Alligator mississippiensis: one gene and its partners. The protein of the gene in region 1 interacts with the protein of each later gene in a pairwise test. Links are inferred from orthologs where the notes say so. Each region holds a gene or a part of one and is shown in the gene's direction. Other genes may lie near its edges.

The links.
Region 2: the proteins of SH3GLB1 (region 1) and SYNGR3 interact in binary tests that used the Homo sapiens proteins (3 or more experiments, as listed by UniProt). The link is inferred for Alligator mississippiensis from reciprocal best matches to the Homo sapiens genes SH3GLB1 and SYNGR3.
Region 3: the proteins of SH3GLB1 (region 1) and COQ8A interact in binary tests that used the Homo sapiens proteins (3 or more experiments, as listed by UniProt). The link is inferred for Alligator mississippiensis from reciprocal best matches to the Homo sapiens genes SH3GLB1 and COQ8A.

What each region holds. Positions count from the first base shown.
Region 1 is NC_081828.1:29,566,728-29,573,645, forward strand, and holds the start of SH3GLB1 (endophilin-B1), read left to right. Parts: upstream 1-3,897; 5' UTR 3,898-3,968; coding exon 3,969-4,040; intron 4,041-6,918. UniProt on the Homo sapiens protein: May be required for normal outer mitochondrial membrane dynamics. Required for coatomer-mediated retrograde transport in certain cells. May recruit other proteins to membranes with high curvature. May promote membrane fusion.
Region 2 is NC_081836.1:57,372,370-57,379,701, forward strand, and holds the start of SYNGR3 (synaptogyrin-3), read left to right. Parts: upstream 1-4,326; 5' UTR 4,327-4,400; coding exon 4,401-4,499; intron 4,500-7,332. UniProt on the Homo sapiens protein: May play a role in regulated exocytosis. May indirectly regulate the activity of the plasma membrane dopamine transporter SLC6A3 and thereby regulate dopamine transport back from the synaptic cleft into the presynaptic terminal.
Region 3 is NC_081824.1:179,104,570-179,112,553, reverse strand, and holds the start of COQ8A (atypical kinase COQ8A, mitochondrial), read left to right. Parts: upstream 1-4,978; 5' UTR 4,979-4,993; coding exon 4,994-5,023; intron 5,024-6,113; coding exon 6,114-6,308; intron 6,309-7,984. UniProt on the Homo sapiens protein: Atypical kinase involved in the biosynthesis of coenzyme Q, also named ubiquinone, an essential lipid-soluble electron transporter for aerobic cellular respiration.

The sequences.
Region 1 (6,918 bases):
ACATTATTTTTTAAATGCAAGTATTTTTTCCCCCAGAATTCTCAGATTTTCAATTTACTCCTTTTTGCCTTCAGATGCTTTAAATGGATGTCAGTACTTAATTTTATTTTTATTACAACTTTATTACTAATTGGTTTTCCTCACACAACTCACTCCCATACTTTACAGTTAGGCTGAGAATCATTTTACTTTACAGTGGGCTTTATGTTGATTTGTTTTAATCTTTATGCCAATTGTTCTTTGAATATTCCTATTGCCTATGATGCCTGGAATGACTCTGTACAAAAGACTCATGGGCCCAGTCAGAGCCTCTCTTATTTCAGCAGGGCTCCATGTGGGCACAAGTGAATCCCAGTGGAGCTGGTCCCACAATCAAGGCATACATCAAACAGTATATTAACATACAGACTTTGATATTGGATTTGCCAAGTGACTCTACTCTTTTTTGCATCATTTATGAGTTTTAATTTGTGTCATTATATTATAATACCAAAGAAGAGATAGAAGAGACCCGTTAAATCACTGTCACCATTATAATTGATGTGAATTGTTTTTCAAAAGCCCTGCACAGCGATAGATATCTGGAATAAAGACAGAAGCTGACCCAAAGCACCAACAGTCTAAATTCTAAGGGCCATAGACAAAAATAAGAAAAAAGTGAAAGGATAGGACATATAACAATATTTGTGTGCTCATTTCAACTCTGCAAATTCAGGACTGGTGTCTACATTTCCCAGTTATTTCACATTGCCCTTCTCTTCTCTTTCCTTCTGTCAGTACAGCTCCTGTTCAAGTACTACAGAAAGCAGAGTACCAGTTGCAGTGTGGAACCAGTGGGAGTTTTCTAGATGGACGTGAGCCATGGAAAACAGCTGTTTCCTGCCTTCATCCAATCTGCCCTCAAATTTTCATGGAGTCCTGAGCATGCACAGCTCATTCAGAAAAAAAACTTCTCAGAGAGGAGATGGCAATATTCCTTTTACCATTCCTGTCCAAGTTATCACCAAGTTGGACTTGGCTGGTCATTTTGGTGCAAATGTGAGTGTAGCCCCATATACGTATACACAAAAACACATCTCCTTTATCCATTCCAGTAAAATCACCTTGGGTTATCAAACTAGGAAGAATGTAAAATATATTAGATCAGTGTTCATTCTATTCATGTCATTCTGGAATTAATCAGTTTTCAATCACATTTATCCTAAGGTTTTTATGCACAGCATTTCTCCAGCTCTGGTCCACACACTAGTTCCACAGAACTGGCTCTCCCTAGTTCCAGCTGGCAAACTACCTTAGAAACATCAGTAAGTTCTTAATAGGAATCTTTTTGTGTAACCATTGACTGATGTTGACAGATATTTTGTAACCGTGGCTAGGAGGTAGGGGCTATGGAACATGTACTAAAATCTCAATAAAAATATAATCAATGAAATCCCTGCAGTGTCACTCATTACAGACACTGCAGGAACTTTGCATGCTGCTTTTTACATTTCTGATAGATTTTGTGAAAGCCCTGATTCCCAAGGTGCACTGCCTTTCAATTCATACCCATTCCTCTGGCACAGAGTCAGCAGATGGTTCATATATATGTATTTAAGTTATAAAACAGGGGGTGGTAACCTCCAGCATGCATGCCAGAGCGTGGCACATGAAGACATTTTGCTTGGCAGGCCAGCCTTTGGGGCACGTGGTGGTGGAGCCACAAGGGGCCTGGATCCTTCTGGTGGCAGTGCAGCTCTAGCCCCTTCCCCACTGTCTGCCCTGAGGTGTGCATTCATCTGCTGCCAGCAACAAGCTGGGCTGGAGAGCTGCAGATCCCAGTGCAGCTGCTTGCAGCCTTCTAGCTGCAATATATTTATAGTATAAATATTTATATATATTATTCCATAAGTGTTCCTCATTACGGCCATGGTCCCAAACCCTGTAAAGTCAATGGGGAGGATGATTGAACCTTCCATTACTTTAGTTGACATTAAATGAGATATTTACACTTGAAAACAATTCTTCCAGTGGCTCACGTGCCTCATACCTCCTCTGCTTCTCAACAAACTGACAAAGACAAGACAATCACCAGCCACACCCTAGAAAGCAGTTTGAGTGGGGTGTTGCCCCATGGTAGCTACAAATCAGATTAGCTCAGGTACTCAGGTTACACAGCACTGCACTGGGCCAAGGTAGACATACCCTGAATCTTGACAGAGTTAAGTAGGTATAGCTTACACCTACGCCACACCAGTGTCCACAACTTGGTTTTGAGTCCTCTCAGGAAAGGGCAGGAATAGAAGGTAGGTCTCCCTCTTCCTGTGCAAGTGCTCCATCCATTGAACTACTGGATATAAAAGGGGAGCGCCACCTTTTCCTCTTGCTATATTATGAAAGACAAGAGTGACCCCTGCTCAGTTTTTGAAAGAAATGCCTACAGTGCCAGATTTAGGCTTAAGCTACAGCTTAGGGCCTCGCAATATGAGGGGCCTCTAAATAAGTAAAAAAACCTGACTCATTATTAAGTTTTATAATAATCAGTTGATAAATAAAGGAGATAAAGGAGATATGGGAAAATAACTCCCTAAATATGGACATTTTCATTCTGCGACAAAAAAAAAAAAAAAATATATATATATATATATATGGCTCTACAGTTATTATTCATATTGAGTTCATGAATTTGTGCAGAAATAATAATTCATCTTAAAATTTCACGAAAATCCATTTCTGTGGATTTCGTGGATTAGTTTTAGTTGAGGGCCTCAACATGTCATAATCCAGCACTGGCAAAAGGAACATCCGGTGAGTGTCACTACACCTGTCTCTACAGGTAAATAAAAGGCCCAAGTCCCAAAGAGAGGTGGGACTCCAGGTACACGCCTGTCCTCAGCATTTCCTATTCCCTCCCCAGTCAGACTCCCGGTTGCTGTGAACCCTGCCCCGAGACACCGCATTGCCCCTAGAGCGCCGAGAGTCCCAACCCAAGTCTGTGAACTATCGCGGGGCACCAGGCATCTAAAAGTAAGTAAGTATTGCCACACTCGCATTGTGCTGCCTCTGTTCTTTGATGGATCTTGGTCCTGGCCTTGTTCCTTTATGAACCTAGCCCATACGAGCTGCTTGGGCTCAGTACCTGCAGTTATACATCTGTGCTTATTTATGTATCAAAATCTGAAAATTTTACCCACAGGGACTTTCCAAACGTCCCACAGTGCCAGCTGTAGGAGGAGAAAGCTGCTTCTAGCCAGGAGCTGCTTCTGCCAACGCTCAGGGGGAAAAACAATCACCGAACAACTCCTCGACTAAAACTGGTTCCAACGAATGGAGACAACAAACCAGGTGGTTTAAAGGAAGCACCTGGCCGCTGAAGAGATATAAACGAGATAAAAAGAAAGGTGGAAAAAAAGCAAACTACCCTGAAGCAGAGAGAAACTGGACAATTGCTTTCCATGTTCTCCTTCTTAGTATTATGTGCACAATGGCCACCTCCCACTACGTTTTCCTTTTCCATTCTTCCAGGAATCCCGCTACACAAAAGGATGTCAACAAGGCATCCGCGGGCCGAGCTGGTTGCTGGCCGCTTCCTCTTCCTGTGCAAAGGCGGGTGTTTCTGTCTGCGGGGCAGCCGGAGCCAGGCCTGAAGCGCGACACGCAAACGCGCGGTGGCTGCCGCAACGTCCCCGAGCAAACCCGCCCCTCGGACACTACGGAAAGGGCGCGGGAGCGGCGCAGGCGACAGTGCAGGGTCCCCGCCCGTCAGCAGCGAGCTCCAGAGGGCAGGGACCCACGTGCGCCGGGACGCAGCGGCTTTCACTGCGCGGCGGGGCGGGGCGGGGCGGGGCCCGGCTGCCATTGCGGCGCAGGGAGACGGTTGGGCCCGGCCCCGCGCGTGACGTCACGGCCGCGGCCCAATCAGCGCGGGGCTCGGGGGCGCCGGCCGGGGCCGGGGCAGCGGGTGTGCGGGTGACGCGGCCCCCCCGGGCATGAGCATCATGGACTTCAACGTGAAGAAGCTGGCGGCCGACGCGGGCACCTTCCTCAGCCGCGCCGTGCAGGTACGGCGGGCCGTGCCGCTCCCCTCCCCGTCCGCGCCCGGCGCCTGCGGCCTCCGCTGTGCTGCGCCCGGGGCCCGGCGGCAGCTCCAGGCCCCGCGGGTCCGCCCGGCGCGGAGGGGCGGCAGGGGCGGGGACCGCGCCCAGCGCTGTCCTCAGCACCACGGGGGGCTTCGGCCCGGGGACGGGCGGCAGCAAGGGGCAGCCGTCTGGGGCTCGTCCTCGGGCGTCAGGAAATGGGCGGATCTCGTTGCAGCCTCAGCAGAAAGGCCCGGGCTGTCTGCTTGGCCCTTCCCGGAGAGAGGAAGGAGCAGTCCGGCAGCCCCTGACATGGATCTAGATCCTGCTCCCTGGGGTGAAAATTTCCAGCTGCTGCCAGGGCACACCAGGAAGTGCCCGCACAGACACACGCATGCCCCCCGCCCCCCACCCCAGCAATCCTGTTCTCTTTAATGAGCATCAGGCTGGTAATTGTGGATGCAACTTGGAAAGGAAAACTTGTCTGGGCGCTTCAGAGTTTCTAAAACATTTTCTCTTTCTTAACACGAAGGCTGCGGCAACCGTATCCCGGTTCTGTAGCTGCTGCCTTGGGCAATCATCCTCTTGCATTACAGAGCCGGGCGTGGAAAAGACTCGCTGCGGGCCCTGAGTGTCAAGAAGTGAGCTGGAGCTTGCCTGGGGGTTGCCAAAATGTTCTTGATGGGTCGCGGTCCCAGTCAGGCTTGTGGGCTGTTTATAGTTTTTAATGCAAGACAAAACAAAACGAGGGTTTAGTCCGAGCCCGGCTACAAGCCTGGCGACAATGCAGCACTCCTACATCTTTGCGTTCAAGGGAACACGTGAGCCAGCGGGATGGCTCGCAGAGGTGAGAGGAATGGAGCAGAAGGGCCAGCGCCATCGGATGCGTATTGCTAACGTACAGAAACAGTTACTTGCCGTAAGATCCTTGTAATGGTAACTTTCTTGGTTGGATCTCTCCTTCTGGCACACTTTGTTTTCTTTCCTCTTCCCTTTCAGGTCTAGGTGCTGGCTTTATGCTTTGCTGACTCCTTGAATCCTCCTTTCCCCACTTAGTTACCTCGAGTTATTTCTCTTTCTCCTCATTGAAAGGGGAGTACAGCAGATACAGTTTGCCCTTTATTCTAAGAGTCTTTGATGTGAATCTTGTCATCTTTATGGTTTATTTTGTGTATCACTCAAACCTAGTACAGATTTGGTGCAGCCTACTGCTCTGGTAAAACAGCTTGAGAAGGCAGGGCAGGCAGCAGAGATCATAGGAAGCTCATTGAGCATGGGGCGGGGGCAGTGTTTGCTGACCACCATCAGTGGGGAGTGCAGGGATGAGAGGAAGGGAAAGCTTACTTGTTTGGGCAGTCAGCTCTGCTCCAGCAGCAGCAGCCCTGTGGCTGGGCTCCCTGAGAGCCTCCCCTGGTGCCCTGCTCACTCCTTTTCCCCAGTCCTTGAGTGTTGGGCACGTGGCTGTGCTTGCCGTGACACAGACTCCACACTGGTGGGAGGGAAGCCACTTTCTGCTCTCTCCACTCACCCCCCCTGCCCTCCAGATACTTTGTTCAAGGCCAACAGAGTGCTGCCCAGCTGCTGTAGCCAGGCAGGGCTGTTCCTACCATGGCAAAGCCTGCCTTTTGTGGACTGGAGGATGATTACTGGTACTTCCTTTTAGTCAGCACTCAGGGTTGGGGGCCCTGCTGACCCTGCCCTAGTTATGTTACCACAAGGTAGCACTTTAAAGGCTAACTGGTTCAGAGGTATATGGTTTCATAGACAGTACGCTCCATAGCACGTGACAGAGTGGATCATTGCCTATGAAAGTTCTCTCTGAACTGGTTAACACTTAAAATGCTGCCCTGCTCTGCCTTTTGCTTGACTTCAGACTAACGTGACTTAACTACCTCTCTACTCAGGTAAACCATGTGAGCGATGACTCACACCCATGAACTTCCTCTAATCTACCTTGTTGACTTGCATCAGAGTAGCTACATCAGAGGGTAAAATTTATCCCTGTAAGACTTCCAAGAACATAATGGAACTGGAAATGTTTTCATGACTTAATCTAATTTTTTTGTACCCTAAACACTCCAGTAAATTATACATGAGAAGCAGAATCAGCTAGAGAAAGTGAAAGCAAGCCTATCTTGTTCTACTTCCCAAGCTGACTAGAATGAAGAATTAAATGACAAATTGTTTTACATTACTTTATTCATTATTAGGATTTGTGTAAAATGGTAAAGTGCCAATTATCCTTGATATTGGCTGAACAGTGTAATAGAATGGATCCCTGCATGTAACTTCCAGTAACACAACACAGTGTAACCTACCAGCAGCAACTCAGAATATCCTGTTTCCAGCAGTTCTTCATTCTTTATATTTCCTTTTTTTCATTTTGAGGAGTGGGAGGGGGGCATGATATAAAGAGCTTTGCAGAATGCTCTTCATGTCCCCTGATGTGAGGTTTTACAATCCAGGAGTGAGGGACTTTGAAGTTTGGTGGTCCTTCAGAGAGATTGCCTATCCACTTCTCTTATATGCCAGTGGAGTTTGATATTCTGTAGTACAGCAGCAAGAGAAAAGCAACAGGTCAGAGTGTTTAGCAAATTTTAAAAGGTACATTTGGAAGCGTAGAGGTTACCAGGGAAGACATGAGAAAGATATTGCAGCTACCAGGCAGGTAGCTGTGTTGTACAGTAGTTTCTGAGCCTGCTGCACATTCATATTAAAGCTGGATTGAAACCAGCTGTAGAGTTGTCACACATTGTCAAGCACTACCTTTATAGCTGGTTGGCTCTTTTTATAGTTGGTTAGTGATTTTTATTGTTTGATAATTTCTTTGTACTTGTGGCTGATCTAAATTTATTGTGTGATT
Region 2 (7,332 bases), on another chromosome or scaffold:
CATGCTGAGTTGGGAGAAGGTTACAATTTCACTTTGCAGTTGGATTGGGAAGCTGGGCCTGTACCATCAGGGATTCACGTGCATAATATTTTAAGATTTCTATTTGTTTGCTGAAGTTCTAACTAGTCTCGAGGTGAAAGAATCTATCCTGAAAGCGAACGCAGTTTTTGCTCAGGACGCTCCACCACTGATATATTTTCGGTCAAGCAACTGCAAGAGAAGTGAAGAGAAAAATGAATACCACTATGCATAGCCCTCATCGATCTGACAAAAGCCTTTCATACAGTCAACGGAAGAAACTGTTCTGAAGAAGCTATGTTGTCCCCTGAGCTACTGAGCATCATTCACTTATTATATCAAGCGAATAAAGGCAGCTGTAGTTTAAACAAAGAATTAAACACTTTTGACATCAACAACATCACTCTGGAAGATAAATCTCCTGGTGTCGTCAATGTTTTTTGCTACTTATGTTCCACAATCAGCAGGAATCTTGACTTTCAGACCGAACTATCAGAATTGGAAAAGCAGCTAAGAATTTCGGGCTGTTGCAGAAACGTGCATGGAATAAAAGCAACCCATCAGGTAAGGTGAAGATGCGCATCTATGAGATTTGTGTGCTGTCATCCCTGTTTTATGGTTGAGAAACATGGACTAAATATGCTAGGCACATCGAGACTGAACAGCGTCCACATGAGATGTCTGCGTAAGATCCTGAAAATGAAGTGGGAAGACAGAATACCAAACACAGAGGTGCTGGAGCACATAGAACTGACACACTCAGAAACCACCGTGATGGATCAGCTATGTCGGGAGAATGGGAGGAGACCGCATCCCCAAGAATATTTTGTACAGCGAGATTCAAGACGGCTCTAGAAACCAGGGTCTCCCTCTATGGCAGTACCATGATGTATGCAAAAATGATATGAAGTCATTCAACATCAGCATAGAAAGCTGGGAGGAGCATGCAGAATCCCGTCTGATCCAGAGGGAACATCTGGCACTGGGTGCAGCTCAAATTGGAGTGGCTTTGATCCAGAGGATCAAAGCCAAGCGAGAAAGAAGAAAGCAGCCTGCTGTAAACTTGGACTCCAACTCAGACAACACATGGATCTGTGAAACTTGTAACAAGCTGTGTCACTCTCAAATTGGCCTCGTCAGCCACAACCGGATGCATGAGGCACCTGACTAGACCTCTTACATGCACACCACGATCCAGAGGATCGACCGTTGCCTACAGCTGTTCCTTTCCCTTTCCGAATGCTGATGTATATAGCTCTCGGGTGTGCTTTTTGATTGTGAACTTGCTTGTTTGTTCATGGCACAAAGTTAGTGTGATGGTGCCCCGCGGAGGTAAATGGATGTTCTTTATATAACTAGCTAGGTGCACAATGCAGCTTGCCAGGTGCCTGCTTGTTATCAGCCACTTCTGCCACAAACCTTGCTGCCTGTCCACTACCGAGGCACCAGTGTGCCCTGTACCACATGCATTTCTGAACCCCTCAGGTGGTTTTCACGCTGGGTGTTTGTGGGCTCAGTAATTCAGTGGACACCAATTAAATGTTCTGATCTGTTACCACTTCTCATTTGTCGATTAGAAATTAGTGTTGAGCTCTGTGTCTTCCTCTTCAGCTGTGAGTGCACACGTGTATGCAGGGGGGTGTTTTGTGCATGTTGGTTTCACACATCAAACAATACAAGGATTCATTTAAAAAAGCAGTACCAGCATGTGGGAGTTGGGTGGTTAGACAGGGAGGAATAGACTCTAACTTTTCAATGGTGCATTTTAGGCAGATCTCGACTGCAACTGTTCAGAAATGCACCAATTCTTCTCCCCAAGGACTTTGACTGTGGGAGTTGAGGACACTTAGGGCTATCTGGCCAGTGACTAAAAAGCAAAAGGCACCTGAACACACTGCAGATGTCCCTGAGCTGGATCTGCCCCTAGGACTGTGCACACCTCTGCTTTATTGTGCTGAGACGGGATGTTCAGAAGCAGCAAAGTGATTTGGAGAACACGTCTTGCTGAAAGCCAAAGGTATTTGGGCTCCTAAGTCACTTAGATCACACTCTCCCAGACTGCAGTTCACATGGGGTGGCAATCCCTGGCTGTCGACGTCCCCTGAGGAGCATCCCATCGCAGCCCAGTGAGACAGCCTGCAGTAGCGAAGGCACTAGGGGTAGCCTGGTATTCCCTTAATAGCCTTTTATTTTTTTCATAGTAAAATGTGATTTCTACTGAGCTGGTGACATTGAGGGATGAAAGGCTGAATCCTGCTCTTCCTGCTGGGAGTCAGAAATAGATCTAGAGAAATGATGACTCACCTGGAATTGAGAAAAACTGAATGGCATCCTAACGAGCCTTGGCCATTAAATCTCCTGACCGCACTTGTCAGAGACAAGGATGCAGATTTAACCCCGAGGGCTGGGCTGGTTGGGAGGGGGAAGCACAGAGGGCAGTGCTAGGACCATAGCATCCTGCACGGCAGGACTCTCCAAGCTTGTTGCACACATCACCCCCAAGGCGAGGCAGGCCGGTAGCATTATCCCCCTGTCACAGGTGGGGAAACAGCCACAGAGAAGGAAGATGGTTTTCCCCGGGTCAGAAGGGGAGTCAGTGGCAGAGCCAGGAACAGAACCAGGCTCCGACCACCTGTCTGTTCAGGCCTCACGGTTACTTTTCCTGCCTGTTCCTGTCCTGAGCAGAGCAATGATGTCAAAGTTGTCATGGTATCGGTATCTATGAAACCAAAATCATCATCATTGCGTTAGGAAAACTAAATAAGGACATGATCCTGCAGTCGGTGGGGGGGAAACTCTCTTGGAAACCAGGTGGGGTTTCCCTCCATGGGGCTCAGCTTCCTTTTCTTCGTTCCTTCACCAGCCAGCATAAGAGCCAGGGGCAAGAAGCGGCAGATCCCTCCGGCCCCAACAGACCATCTGGGTAGAGCAAGATGGCTTGGCTTTTCCTGCAGGTGGAAAACACGAGCTTCAGCCCAACCAACCCGCCCCTCTTACTCTTCAGGCCGAAGAGCAGGTGGCTGCAAGGCTGGAGGCAGCAAAACCTTTCCCTCCAGGGTGGCCCAGCCAGCATGCTCCCTCCCTCCTAGCTATGAGCCAGTCCCATCCACACCACGGCATCACGGCCACCTTCTGCTCGGCCTCTGCTGCCTGAGATTTTGGGGGAGGTCCCAGGCTCTTGGCTCAGGGCGTGTTGCCCTTTGGGCAGAGGATGGGGAACCCCTCCACCCATCATCAGTGATGGAGGAGCCCATCATCCACCCATCATCATTCCTGCTTGGAGCAGGGGGATGGACTAGACTTCCTGAGGTCCCTACCAGCCCTCATTTTTCTGTTTTTCTATGATTTCCATCTTCTCTCCCCGGCCCCCCAGAAGCCTGCGTGGCTCAGGGCAGCGGGGTGCCTATGGGTGCTGAGCCCCCCGGGGCAGGGCAGAGCCCTCCTGCAGCCCTTTTGGCCCTTGACCCCCCTACACAAGGGGTGCATGGGTGGCCTATGAGTGGCTCTCCAGGGCTGAGCCCTCCTGCAACCACCCTTGGCCTTGCACCCCCATGCACAGAGATTGCATGGGTAGCCTGTGGGTGGCTCTCAGGGCTGAGCCCACCGGGGCAGAGCTGAGCCACCCTTGGCCCTGCACACGCATGCACAAGGGATGCATGGATGGCCTATGGGTGGCTCTTGGGGCTGAGCCCCTGAGGCAGGGCAGAGCCCTCCTGCAGCCCCTTTGGCCCTGCACCCCCATGCACAAGGGGTGCATGGGTGGCCTATGAGTGGCTCTCCAGGGCTGAGCTCTCCTGCAACCACCCTTGGCCCTGCACCCCATGCACAGAGGTTGCATGGGTGGCCTGTGGGTGGCTCTCAGGGCTGAGCCCCTGGGTCAGGGCAGAGCCCTCCTGCACCCCCATGCACAGGGGTGGCATGGATGGCCTATGGGTAGCTCTCCAGAGCTGAGCCCCTGGGGCAGGGCAGGGCAGGGCAGAGCCCCTCTGTAGCCACCCTTGGCCCTGCACCCCCATGCACAAGGGTTGCATGGGTGACCTATGGGTGGCTGTCCGGGCTGAGCCCCCCCGCAGCCCCCTTGGCCCTGCACCCCCATGCACAGGGCGTGCACGGGTGCTGCAATGGGGGCTGGCAAGCGTGCAGCAAACCCCCCTTGGAGGCGCGCGGGGAAGGACAGGTGAGCTTGGGAAGTGAAGCCCCGGGCAGGCAGCGATGCACCTGCAGGTCCCTCCTCCCCCCCCCTCCCGGGATGGTTCCTCCCACCGCCCGGCGCCGCGGGCCAGTGGGCGAGCCCACGCTGCAGCGAGGCGGGGGTGGGCGGGGGAGATGCGGGCTGGAGCCGCACCGGAGTCGCTGCTAGGCGCAGCGCAGCAGCAGCGAAGATGGAAGGAGCCTCCTTCGGAGCCGGCCGGGCAGGGGGGGCCTTCGACCCCCTGGATTTCCTCAAGCAGCCGCAGACCCTGCTGCGGATCGCATCCTGGGTAAGGCAGAGCCCCTGCCCGGGTGCCTGGCATGCACCTCTTTCCCCTAGGGGGTTTGGGAGCCTGGCATGGCGTGGAGGCAGGGGGGCATCTCCCCCCCACCAGCTGTCATTGCTGTCCTGGCACTGGGGATGCTTGCCTTCCTTCCCTGCAGAGGGACAGGACCCCCCCCAGCTCCCCGCTGGAGCCCTGGCTGCACCCACCCGACGGGGCATTTTGCAGGGCTTCATTTGGATGGGTAGAGGCAGGGGGGTGAATCGGTGGCACAAGGCATTTTTTTTCCCCCCTCGTCTGCTTGGCAGGGGGCATGTGTGCACACCAAGCAATGCGAGATCCAGCCCTGCCTGTCCCCCCCCAACACCCGGGGAACGGCAGATGATATCATAGTTTGCTCCTGCTCTGAGATGCTATTGCCCGGCCGGCTGATGACGCTGCCCGAATGGCACGGATCCCCCCCACGTTCCACAGGCGCCGGCGTGGAAAGCCGTGCAAAGAGCCCGGCTTGCACGGATGATGCCAGGAGGTGCACGGGTGTTAGGCTCACGCTCCGCCCTACCTCGCCTCGTTGTGCCCAGGGCTGCAAGGTGGCACGGGCAGCTCTCTGGGAGACTCCAGGCCTCTCTTCAGAGACCTCCACCAAGACCCTTGATTGCAAAAGCTCTGGGAAGGGCCCCCGTTTGCAGCCTCAAGAGGGAGGCCAGGGAGGTAGAGGCTGTTCCTGTTCCTTGTTAGCAAAGGGGAAGAGCTTGCTTGGTCCCCGGGGATGGGGCGAGAACGCTTGCCCCCCTGCTGTGTGGGTGCTGAGGGTCAAGGCTGTGCCTGCAGTGAACCGGTTGCAATAAAGGAAAGGGGCAGATCAACCATATTCTTCCTTCAGAGCCATAAAAGACAGGCTGGCTACTTGTGCCCCTCTTCTAGGCTCCATCCAGCAAGTAGCGAGGGAGGAATGTGCTTCCCTTTAAGCAGGTGAGTAACCCCACACGCTTGTGGGTAAGCACATGCTTAAGTGTCCTGCTGCACTGGAGCCATAATCCATTCCCCAGGGCTTTGAAAAAGCCCCCACATGCATTACCTGGCTAAAATGGAGGCTGGCTGCGGAGGCGAAGCATCAAGGCGTGAAGTAGATCGGCTGTGTTGCATGCGATTGACACAGTAACATGGCAGTGAACTCATCATAGATGCTCCCAATGTGTCACCTGGATCCAGAGCGGAGGAATGGGTTCCTGGGGGAGCGGGAGCGAAACGCAGGACACAGAATTAACAAGCACTTTGGAAAAGGCTCCTGTGCATCTTCTGTGGCAGATTTATCCCGCCGCACCGGCTGGGCGATCTGACAGCACCAAGAACCGGCCCCAAAGGCTCGGAAGGCAGAATCTGATGGCCTGGATGAGCTCTAAGCCTGTAAATTGTCCCTTTTTCTTGAATAACCCCCCTTGCAGTGCTGAAAGGGAAACAGCTCCCAAGCTGGGTAGCATCCAAACCAATCATTTCCATTGACTTCAGTGGGTTTTGGCTCGGACCCCAAATGCCTGCACAAGGCAGCAGTAAAAGGGCTCTGGGCGTGACCCCGGCCCTGCAGCAGCTGGAGCCCCTTTAGGGCCCAGCCTGCAGGCTCAGGGCCACAGCTGGGACAGGTTTAAGTCTTGTTCACCCGGGGGGCACTAGCCTCCGCTTCAAGCAAATGAACCCAAATTGTTTTAAACCTGTGGTGGAAGCCGGTGCAGCGGGGACAGCTCTTGCCCAGCGTAAACAGGGACTCACTCCCTGATGGGCACGTGTCCCCTGAGGTATCTGCTTCATGCATTGGTTGGGCCCGTTCTTCAGACCTGTCATCTTGGCTCTGGGCAGCCATCAGGTGCCAAATGCTTATTGCTTCCTACAGCCTCATCAGCGCAAAGCGTACCTGCGTTTTGTAAAATAGTGCTTAGTGCACCTTGGCAGGCCGGGAGTCCTGAGCATCTTAATCATGGGTGTGTGGCTGAAGGGGAAAATTAGTAAGATAAACAGCTGGTTTTGCCTGCAAGACCCTTTCAAAGTCCTTTTTTCCCTTGCTGCCATACCCCAGATTGCTGGGGTTGGGGCTGTAAAATGCAGCCTCACTGACATGGAATATGATGGTGTTTATTCGCTGCTTGTGTGATGGTAGGAGCTAGAAACCCCTGCTATGGACCAGGATGTGTGCAGTAGGCTCCCTACAGACCCCTAACAAAAAAAACCATGGTCCCTGCTCCAAAAATCAGGCAACCTGAGCGAGAACAGTGGTGTTTAATACCCGTGTGCATGCACAGCGTGCGTATTTTATTAGGACAGCATCGCAGCTAAGATGCCCAAGGAAGACGGGTGAGTTTGTTCTTTGTTTGCAATGATCTGTCTCTTCCCACTCGCTAAAACATGTGTTTGTGGACAATCTGAAGCAGAAAATTAACGTAATTGGAGCACATCTTAGTGACTCAGTCCCTTCCCACTGCCCAGCACCAGTCTCCCCCAGTGTGAAATGGAGGAAATGCTGAAGCTTTGGCTGTCAGAAGCAACAGGAGGTGTTGGGTATTTGGGGGATGTGCATGTGGAAGGGAGAGAACGGTTTTACACGGACCCAGTCCTGTTTGCTTTGCTGGGAGAAGCAGTTTCCCAGAAGTCAGGAGAGGCATTCTTGCATGTAGGCCTGTACAAGATCTGTATAAGGCCCGTTTCAAGCCTGGATTCCCCACCATTGAAGCCAGCGGGAGTTTCATTGTCAGGTCCAGGGTGTGTGTGTGCAAACAGTGCACATGTCAGCAAGGTGACTGGTTTGATCCTTCGGTCTGACGTTCGTGGGCCTTCCCGGGGAACAGCA
Region 3 (7,984 bases), on another chromosome or scaffold:
GATCAGACCAGAGGAGAGGAAAAGTAATCTTCCCAGTTTTGGCCTCCTTTTTCTCCCGGTTATTTTCATTCTCTTCCATGCCTTCCTGTCCATTCCTTGATAGTCTCTTGACTTCCACTTTCCATATCCCTCTCAGAGTAACTGAGTTTTGCGTGTCCTTTTGTCCATGAGCTCTTCAAAATTGGGTGCTTCGCTTTTTTCCTTTTTTTTTTTTCTTTTTTTTCCCCTACACAGGAAATCTACCTTCCTGGGGAGCCTAACGTTACTGAAAATGAATGTTTATTCTCCTGGTTTACAACTTCCTCTTGGAAGAGGTCTGTAACCAGGCACCATGTAAGCTTGTTTTTTTCCTTTGCTCTACTTGATGCTTGGATACTGACCAACATGGGGCATGCAGAGCATTAAGAATAAGAGGGGAGCTAACAGTAATGTGCAGTAGAATTCAGGATTGTGACTCTTAAAATCCTACTTCTATCGACCTTTTATTTGTGGTGATCTCCTTGCCATTGACAATTTCACACCCTTGTGGAGCTGAGGAGTGCTCAGTTTTTGAGTTGGTGTACAAGCTCCTTAAGGCACGACCTGTGTCCAGTGTGGCTTTATAAAATTCTAGGCATACCTACAGTACTGTCACAATATACAGTCAAACAACAAGCACCTCTCCAGTTTAACATTAGAACTGTTTCTTTTATATAGTCTACTACTTGATGTTTCTTATTTTAGTAACATCCCACTGTCATGGAGCCTTCTTGCAAAGAATCTTGCTTCATAGTGGACCCCAGGAGTCCATTTGGTGCTTGTGTCCAACATGATAGACAAAAATGTTTGCATAGAAAATGGATATACGCCCTGCTGTGCTATGCCTCCCCACATGCTAATAAAGGCAGACTTACATGGCCACCTTGGCTGAGCTTGTAACTGCCAGGTAGATGGCCCACTTCCTAAGCAGAGGTGCTGAAAGGCAGTCTCCTGGGTCTCATCCCTGAGCATTTTGAATGAACTTACTATAGGCAAAGTCTTGTAGGTGGTGAAAGGGTTAAAACATTGTTGGCTGAAATGGATGCAATCTCATGGAAGTCAACAGAATTTTGTTAGCAGTGAGTTTGACTCAATATCTGCTTTATAGCTAAAACCAACAAATGGGAACTGGTCATATTTGCTCATTGTTATATTTAGCAGTTGAGCGTTGAGTGCATATTGAGCAATATGTTTTCCATTTGTGGCTTTTTTAGCTTCTCAACTTGTTTTGTTTTTGTTGCAAGACATCAATTCTTAAGCATCTTTTCAGCTATATGACTTCTGTGGTCTGTTGGCAAAATCAGCTCCTGAACTCCTGTTTGAGTGAAAGGAAGAGTTTGGTTTTAATATTTAATTTTTTAGATGGGCTAGGTGTTAGTATGGACCCATTTAATTTTCCTTGAATACATTACTCTTGCTCCAGTAGTTTCAACTCCATCTCCCAGTGCTCCAGATAGTGAAAGAGGAGCTTATGCATTTAAACTGTGGTCCATGCCTGTGTTATTGAACTCTTAGTTACTAATACCCTAACATTCATAATAGTGTGTTCTTATGCTTTAATATTTCAGCTTGGACAATAATGCTGTGCTGGTTAATATCTTTTTTTTCCAGTCCAGACAACAATCCTGTAGATTAGGCATTGGCAACCTATGGCCCCCTCATGGAGCCATTTGATCTGACCCATGGTTGTGAGGTGTCAGGAGCTGAATTGAACCAGTTTGGGTCAGATGCAGGTGGGCATGTGAAGGGTGAGTGCTAGGACTGCCACCTTTCTCAGTGGCTGCACAAAAGTGCCCAGCGCCACTGCTTTTACCTGAGGCATTATGGGAAGTGGAGGGTGTCTGTACCTAGCACTTCACTGGTGGGGGGGTGGACTTTGACACTTCCTGTGCCACTGTGCCTGTAGCGCTGGTACGTTGTTGACCTCTGTGCCCCTAATGGTATAAGTTATGCTGTAGTTAGAGGTTGCCATGTATCCATTATAACAGTAATAGTATAATAGTAAATGGCTGTATAGTATAATAGTAAATAGAGAGACTGATTCATTTTCTCAGCCCTTGATCATTCCGTTTGTTCAACAAATACATCAGTAACCAAGAATTTTTGCCCTTGATTTACAAGAACTGTCAGGCTGTCCTGGAATTCACCTCTCTTATACCAAGGTTAGCCATCCTGCTCCTGTGTGACTGGTATGTAGAGCTTCTCTTCAAGAAAAGTTGTTTTTCCACAGAAGGCAACTGGATCTAGTCATTTGTAGTTTGTGGATGGCATAATACTATATGTTCTATCGACTGGGTTTACAGCCCTTGGACTGTGCTAATGTTCATGACTTGTTCTGTGCTTGTGCGTGTGTGCATGCATGCACACGTGCATGTTGACAAAATGTCTGAAAATGAAATAATGACTTTGCATGGTTATCCAGGAAATAGTCTCATGGTGACTTGTGGAGACTGCAGCCAGAACTGTAAATGACTCATTGATGCTATTTCTTCAGGCTGTCCTGGAACTCAGTTGTTTTATCCCAAGGCAAGCTGTGCTTTTCCTGTGTAATTGGCACATAACCCTTCTTGTAGAGAAGCCCTAAGTTTTTTCTCAGAAGACAACTGGATCCAGTCACTTATAGACTGGATGGCATAGTGTTGTATGTGCCATTGACTGGGTTTACAGCACTTGGTCTGTGCTGATGTTCATGACTTGTTCTGTGCTTGTGTGTGAGTGCAGGTTGACAGAACATGCTCTAAAAATGAAATGATGACTTTGCACAGTTATCCAGGAAGTAGTCTGAGTAACCTGTAGAGACTGCAGCCAGAACTGAATGACTCATTGATGACTATATTCTTCCAGACCAGAGAGAATTTTCCATGGGTTGAGTTGTGCCTTAGATGGCATCCCTTGTTCTGTATTGAAGGGCTTGGAGGAGTACATGTATGAGTGAGCCAGCCCTGGCAATGTGACCTTTTTGGGGTCCTGAAAATTCTGCTGTAGAGAACACTAGTTTTGCCACTGTTTGTAGTAGAGGAGCTGGAGGTATAAGCAAAATATGTGGACACAATAGTTTCCTCCCAGTAGTTGCAAATCTGCTTGGCACAGTGCGCTCTGGGTGCAGTGGATGTCCTATTTACACTGCACTCATTGATCTCCTGTGCTGCCAAGCAGTTATGCTTGGAAGAATTAATTTTTATCATCTTTTTCTAGTAATAGTGCCTTGGGACCATTGTGCTGAGTGCCTTTTGAAAGCCTTGTTCTGAGTTTATTCTTCTAAAGCAGTGCTTCTCAAACTTTTTAGACTTGAGGCACTCATCATTTGACTTGAGAGATCTCCATAATTTGTGAATTGAGCAGCATGCCATTAATAAATAAATTAGTTTTTTAACAGCGCTTACCTAATTGCAGAAGGCCTGAGCATTGGAAGCAGGGTAGTAGCCAGGCAGGTAGGAGCCTGGGTCTGCCCTTATCTTCTCCCACTTGCTTATTTTGTTGCACCTTGTAGCACCCTTTGAAAGCAGCAATCTGGTTGAGAATCACTCTTCTAAAGTAACCATTCTGTTACCACATGTCCTCCATATCAAGTTTCTTTGTGTTTGAATGTGCTGAAATTACATTAATGGTTTGTTTCAAACAGGGCGCTTTACCTTTCAGCCTGGGCACATGGAGCAACATTAATTGCATAATACTCTAGTGCAGCGTACTCAACTCCCAGCCAGCGGACCAGAACTGACCCCTTGTGCCATATCACCCTGCCTGCAGGCTCCTTACAGGTCCTAAAATTTGCAGTGGGGAACAGTGGCATTACTCCCCTGCTGCTAAATTTCCAGACCCCTGGGGAGCCCTGTGGGCTGGATAGTATGGCCCTGTGTGCTAAATTTTGGTGTGCAGGGCAGGGCCAGGACTGGGTGGAGGCAGAATGGGGCACTGGGACTTGTTCCCAATGCACAGGGCCTTATCCCTGCATGCGGGGGCAGTGCAGCATCCCAGGACACAATCTCAGCATGCAGGGCTCTCAGTCTCATCAGTGGGGGACTGCAGGGCCTGATCCTGGCATGCAGTGGCAGCTTGGGGGCTGCCACTGTGTGGGTGTGCTCACATGAGGGGCACAATCCAATCCATCCCTGCACCACTTATCTAGCCGACGGGGCCAAACAGTTGAGCACTACTTTCCTTGTGGGATGTTAAGCTTAGTGAGTTTATATATTTGGAAACCCCTAAAATTACAATCAGTAGGATTTGGGAAAACCTGGCCTACACCAGGTTGAGTGCAAATCCTGTCCATGAGAGAACGCTGAGGGGGCCATTGGTCCTACTCCAGAAAGGGAGGAAAGGAGCAGATTGGCAGGGCCAACAGATACTTATGCAGCACCAGAAAGGGAAGTACAGAGTTGGAAAGAAGGACAGAGTAATGAACACATCTCCTTTAAGCAAAGGGAAGAACATTTTGTGGCCTATATGTAGAACAGGAGCTGGGAGTCTAGGGACCTTCTGCATGCCCAGGTTTGCAGCAGCTGCAGAGCCTTGAAAGCAATAAGGGGTTCCAGATATTACCTGGGGGACATCCCAGAAGAGACTCCTTTCTGGAAGAGTGGTAGGGTTGCCAACCCAGAACTTATTTTTTAAACTTTTTATGCTTTACATAATATAACCCTTCTGCCAGGCCCTGGACAAGGGTTTAACTCCAACCATATTTAGGGTCAAATTTAGGGTTTAACTCCAACCATAGTGAAAAAGTATGGTTGTCAGTAAAATGTTTGTAGGTATATTAAAAAAAAAAAAATAAAAAAATCCTGGTTTGACAACCCTGCTTGACCTGCAGCTATAGTTTTACACCATGCTGTCCCCACCCCAGGGACCTCTTGTTTTATCCCCACACCCTGATGCCCCTGATTATACCCTGTCCCCCAACCCTTCCTCAACCAATCCCCCAGCCTTATTTCTGCTGGCCATGCCTTCCCATCCTATCGTGGACACCCAAAGAAGGACTATGCTCTGCCTTCCTGCAGCAGTGTTACAGGTAGGGTCATAGCACAAGCATGTAGCTGGGGAAGGTGGGTGGTGAGGGGCCATGAAGTGCTGGAGGCTTCCTGCAGCATGCTGCACTCCAGCTCAGACATCAGGTGTTTTGCTCTTCAACACTTGCCTCTGATGAGGAATCTTCATTCAAGCTCTGATTGCTTAGTGCTTTTATGGACATCTGAGGTTTTTCTTACCAACTTCATGGACATGTGGTTATTATGGACAGACCATAAAGAACAGGCCTAAATTTATGGATGGTTGGCAACTCTGGGGAGGGGTGAGCCTAGAACTAGCCAAGGGTCTGAACAAATTAGTGATCTAATGGGGTGGAGGACTTAGTACAGAGCACCTGATATGCAGCAGCTGTCTGTCTGTCTGGGCCTGCTAAATTGTTATGTCTTAGCCCCTAATGAAAATAGAGCTAATTTACAGTAGACACATGGACAGTTACTGTGGAGCATCTGATGCATAGTAAGTTCATGCCCCCGTCAACTCTCTGTACTTTGTTCATTTGCCCATACCCTGAATGACGAGTACATGTGGCAGAAAGTATCAAGGGTGGTATGTATTTGAGGACAGAAGTAACTAACTGGTGGGCCTTGGTAGAGTTTACGTCTTGCTTTGGTAGGGAAGGTATGGCCTAGTGAACTCAGTCAGCTTGACTCCTGGAAGGAGTGGGTGTGGCAGCTGCAGTATGCTTCACTCACACTAGCAGACTCTTTTCTTGGGCAAACAGGTCTATCGGAGGTGTTTCAGATCTTGATAAACATTGATGCTTATGAACTCATAGAAGTCAGGGAAGGAATGAGATATATATGCCCAGGAGATTTACCCACCTCTGCTTCTCCTAAAGCTATTGTATATAAATCTGAGGGTGTGGGGGATCCCAGTGTCATCCTTCATTGCACACTTATAAAATGTGACCATCATCTTGTGGGGTTCAGCTTGGCCAGCATCCTTTTGGAGCTCTGAGCCAAAGGGCCTTCCTAAGGGAGCAGCTGCCTAGAGGGGCTGGAAAGCATTGGGGCTGTGCCATTGGAAATCTTTCCCTAGCTGCTGTATTTCATGACTCTGATTCTGTCTTTCAGCACGTACAGGGGTTAGTCATGGCGGGCGACATCTTCATGCTGATGAGAGGCCTGGCTAAGCTGAGCAAGGCAGTCGTAGAAACCCAAGCAGGACAGCTTCGGCAAGTTTTTCTTGGTGGTGATGCAGCTGCAATTGCAAGGACGTTTCAGGCCACTGCTGAAGAGCAGTTTAGTGCTGCCATGGGGAAAATGCAGGTAAGGAAACCTTCTTGGGTGTGTCACTCCCTGTAGGTAGTTGGCTTCTTTCCTTTATTGACAGTGTATGTGAAAGAAATCTTTGTCTAGCAGGTGATGTGCACAGAGGGGATTTACTAGGCATGCAACAAATTCTGCCAGCACTGTATCAAATGAGTTTTTGATGTTACCTCAGGGTAAATTCACACGGTAACTCCAAGGGTGTTGAAGGACTTTATCTTAAATCAACAATATCCAAATAGCAGTTTTGCATTTTTTTTGGTTTTTGTGTTGGGGCTCCACCTTTTAAACTTTTTTTTCTCTGGCTCATTAAAATCTGACACTTTTGAATGATTTGTTCACAATCCAGCTGGAGTGTTGGGTGCTTGTTTGCGCAATTGAGTAAATGCGGTGGGCACCAAAGTGCCTGATTCTGTTCACAGAGGAGGGCTGAAAATGGATGAATGCTTTGAAAGCAGTCCTGCTACAAGCTGGCAAGGTATTGAGCTTGGCGTGTCCCAAGTGGGAAGATGCGACTGGGAGGCCTGCCATTAGACCTGCCAGTCTGAGCAGCAAATATTTGGATGCTCTTTAATTTTCCACCTGAGTGGTCCATTAAATGGGGCCAAGCACTTCGGTCATAATGGACCTGTTCTTTCATAAGGGTTACACACTGGCATGAAAAAGGGGAAAAAACTGAAGATCATCTAGTCCAGTGGATAAATATCCAGTCATAATTTTTTTTTGTCCCCTCTTAGAGCTGTTTTCTGAACTCTTTGTATTGTGGTGCAAAGGAGCCCCTGTCATGGACCAGAGCCCTTTTGTGTGTGGTGCCATGCAAATAACAGAAATGGAAGATCATGCCCTGAAGTCTGCAGATGTTTCATTAGCTCAGGAGCTGGCAACCTTTTTCAAGCCACATGTCAGAACAGCCATGCCCCATTCTGGTGCAGGCTGGAGAGCTTTGTGGGGGAGGGCAGGGTGTTCTTTCCCTGCATCTCCGTTGGAGCCATGCAGCTGGGACCTGTGTCCGTGCCACCACTGCTGCTCCCTGGCTGCAGTGTAAGTGCAGCTTCTAGTTGACGGAGAGCTGTGTTGCCACCAGGCAGCTGGAAGTTGCTTTCATGCTGTTTCTGCTTTTTCCTGGCCCAGTCTACTCTGCTCCCAATCTATGCTGCAAGAGGCATATGTGGGAATGAAAAAAATGTTCCCTGCAATGCAAATTAGTGGTGCGGGGGCAAAATTAGACCCCATATCCAAGGGTCGAAAAAATCCATAGTGGGGAAAAAAGCAGGGCAGGGCATGGTCCTGGACCACGCCCTGAGGCAACCAGAGGCTAGGTCTTCCACAGAGATGCTCTGGTAGCTGCCAGAATGTCTCTATGGTTGGCCCTTGACCTGGTGCTGAAGCCCTGCCTGTGCAGAGCAGGCAGCATGCCAGCCACGGGGAGCTGGACTGGGGTAGGGAGTTGGGAGGGAGGGGGGATCCAGCCCACTCCCCCAGCCCCCACAATCCCTGCCCTACCCAGCCCCATCCCCTGCCTGCCCCCCGAGCCCCCCTATCAGTGCTCTGCCCAGCCCAGCCCAGCCCAGCCCTGTCCCCTTCCCCCCCCCCCCCCCCCCCCCCCCCCCCCCCCGCCAATTGCTGCCCCTCTGGGCCCCAGCATCCCGGCAATTTAAAACAAAAACCCCGCACTC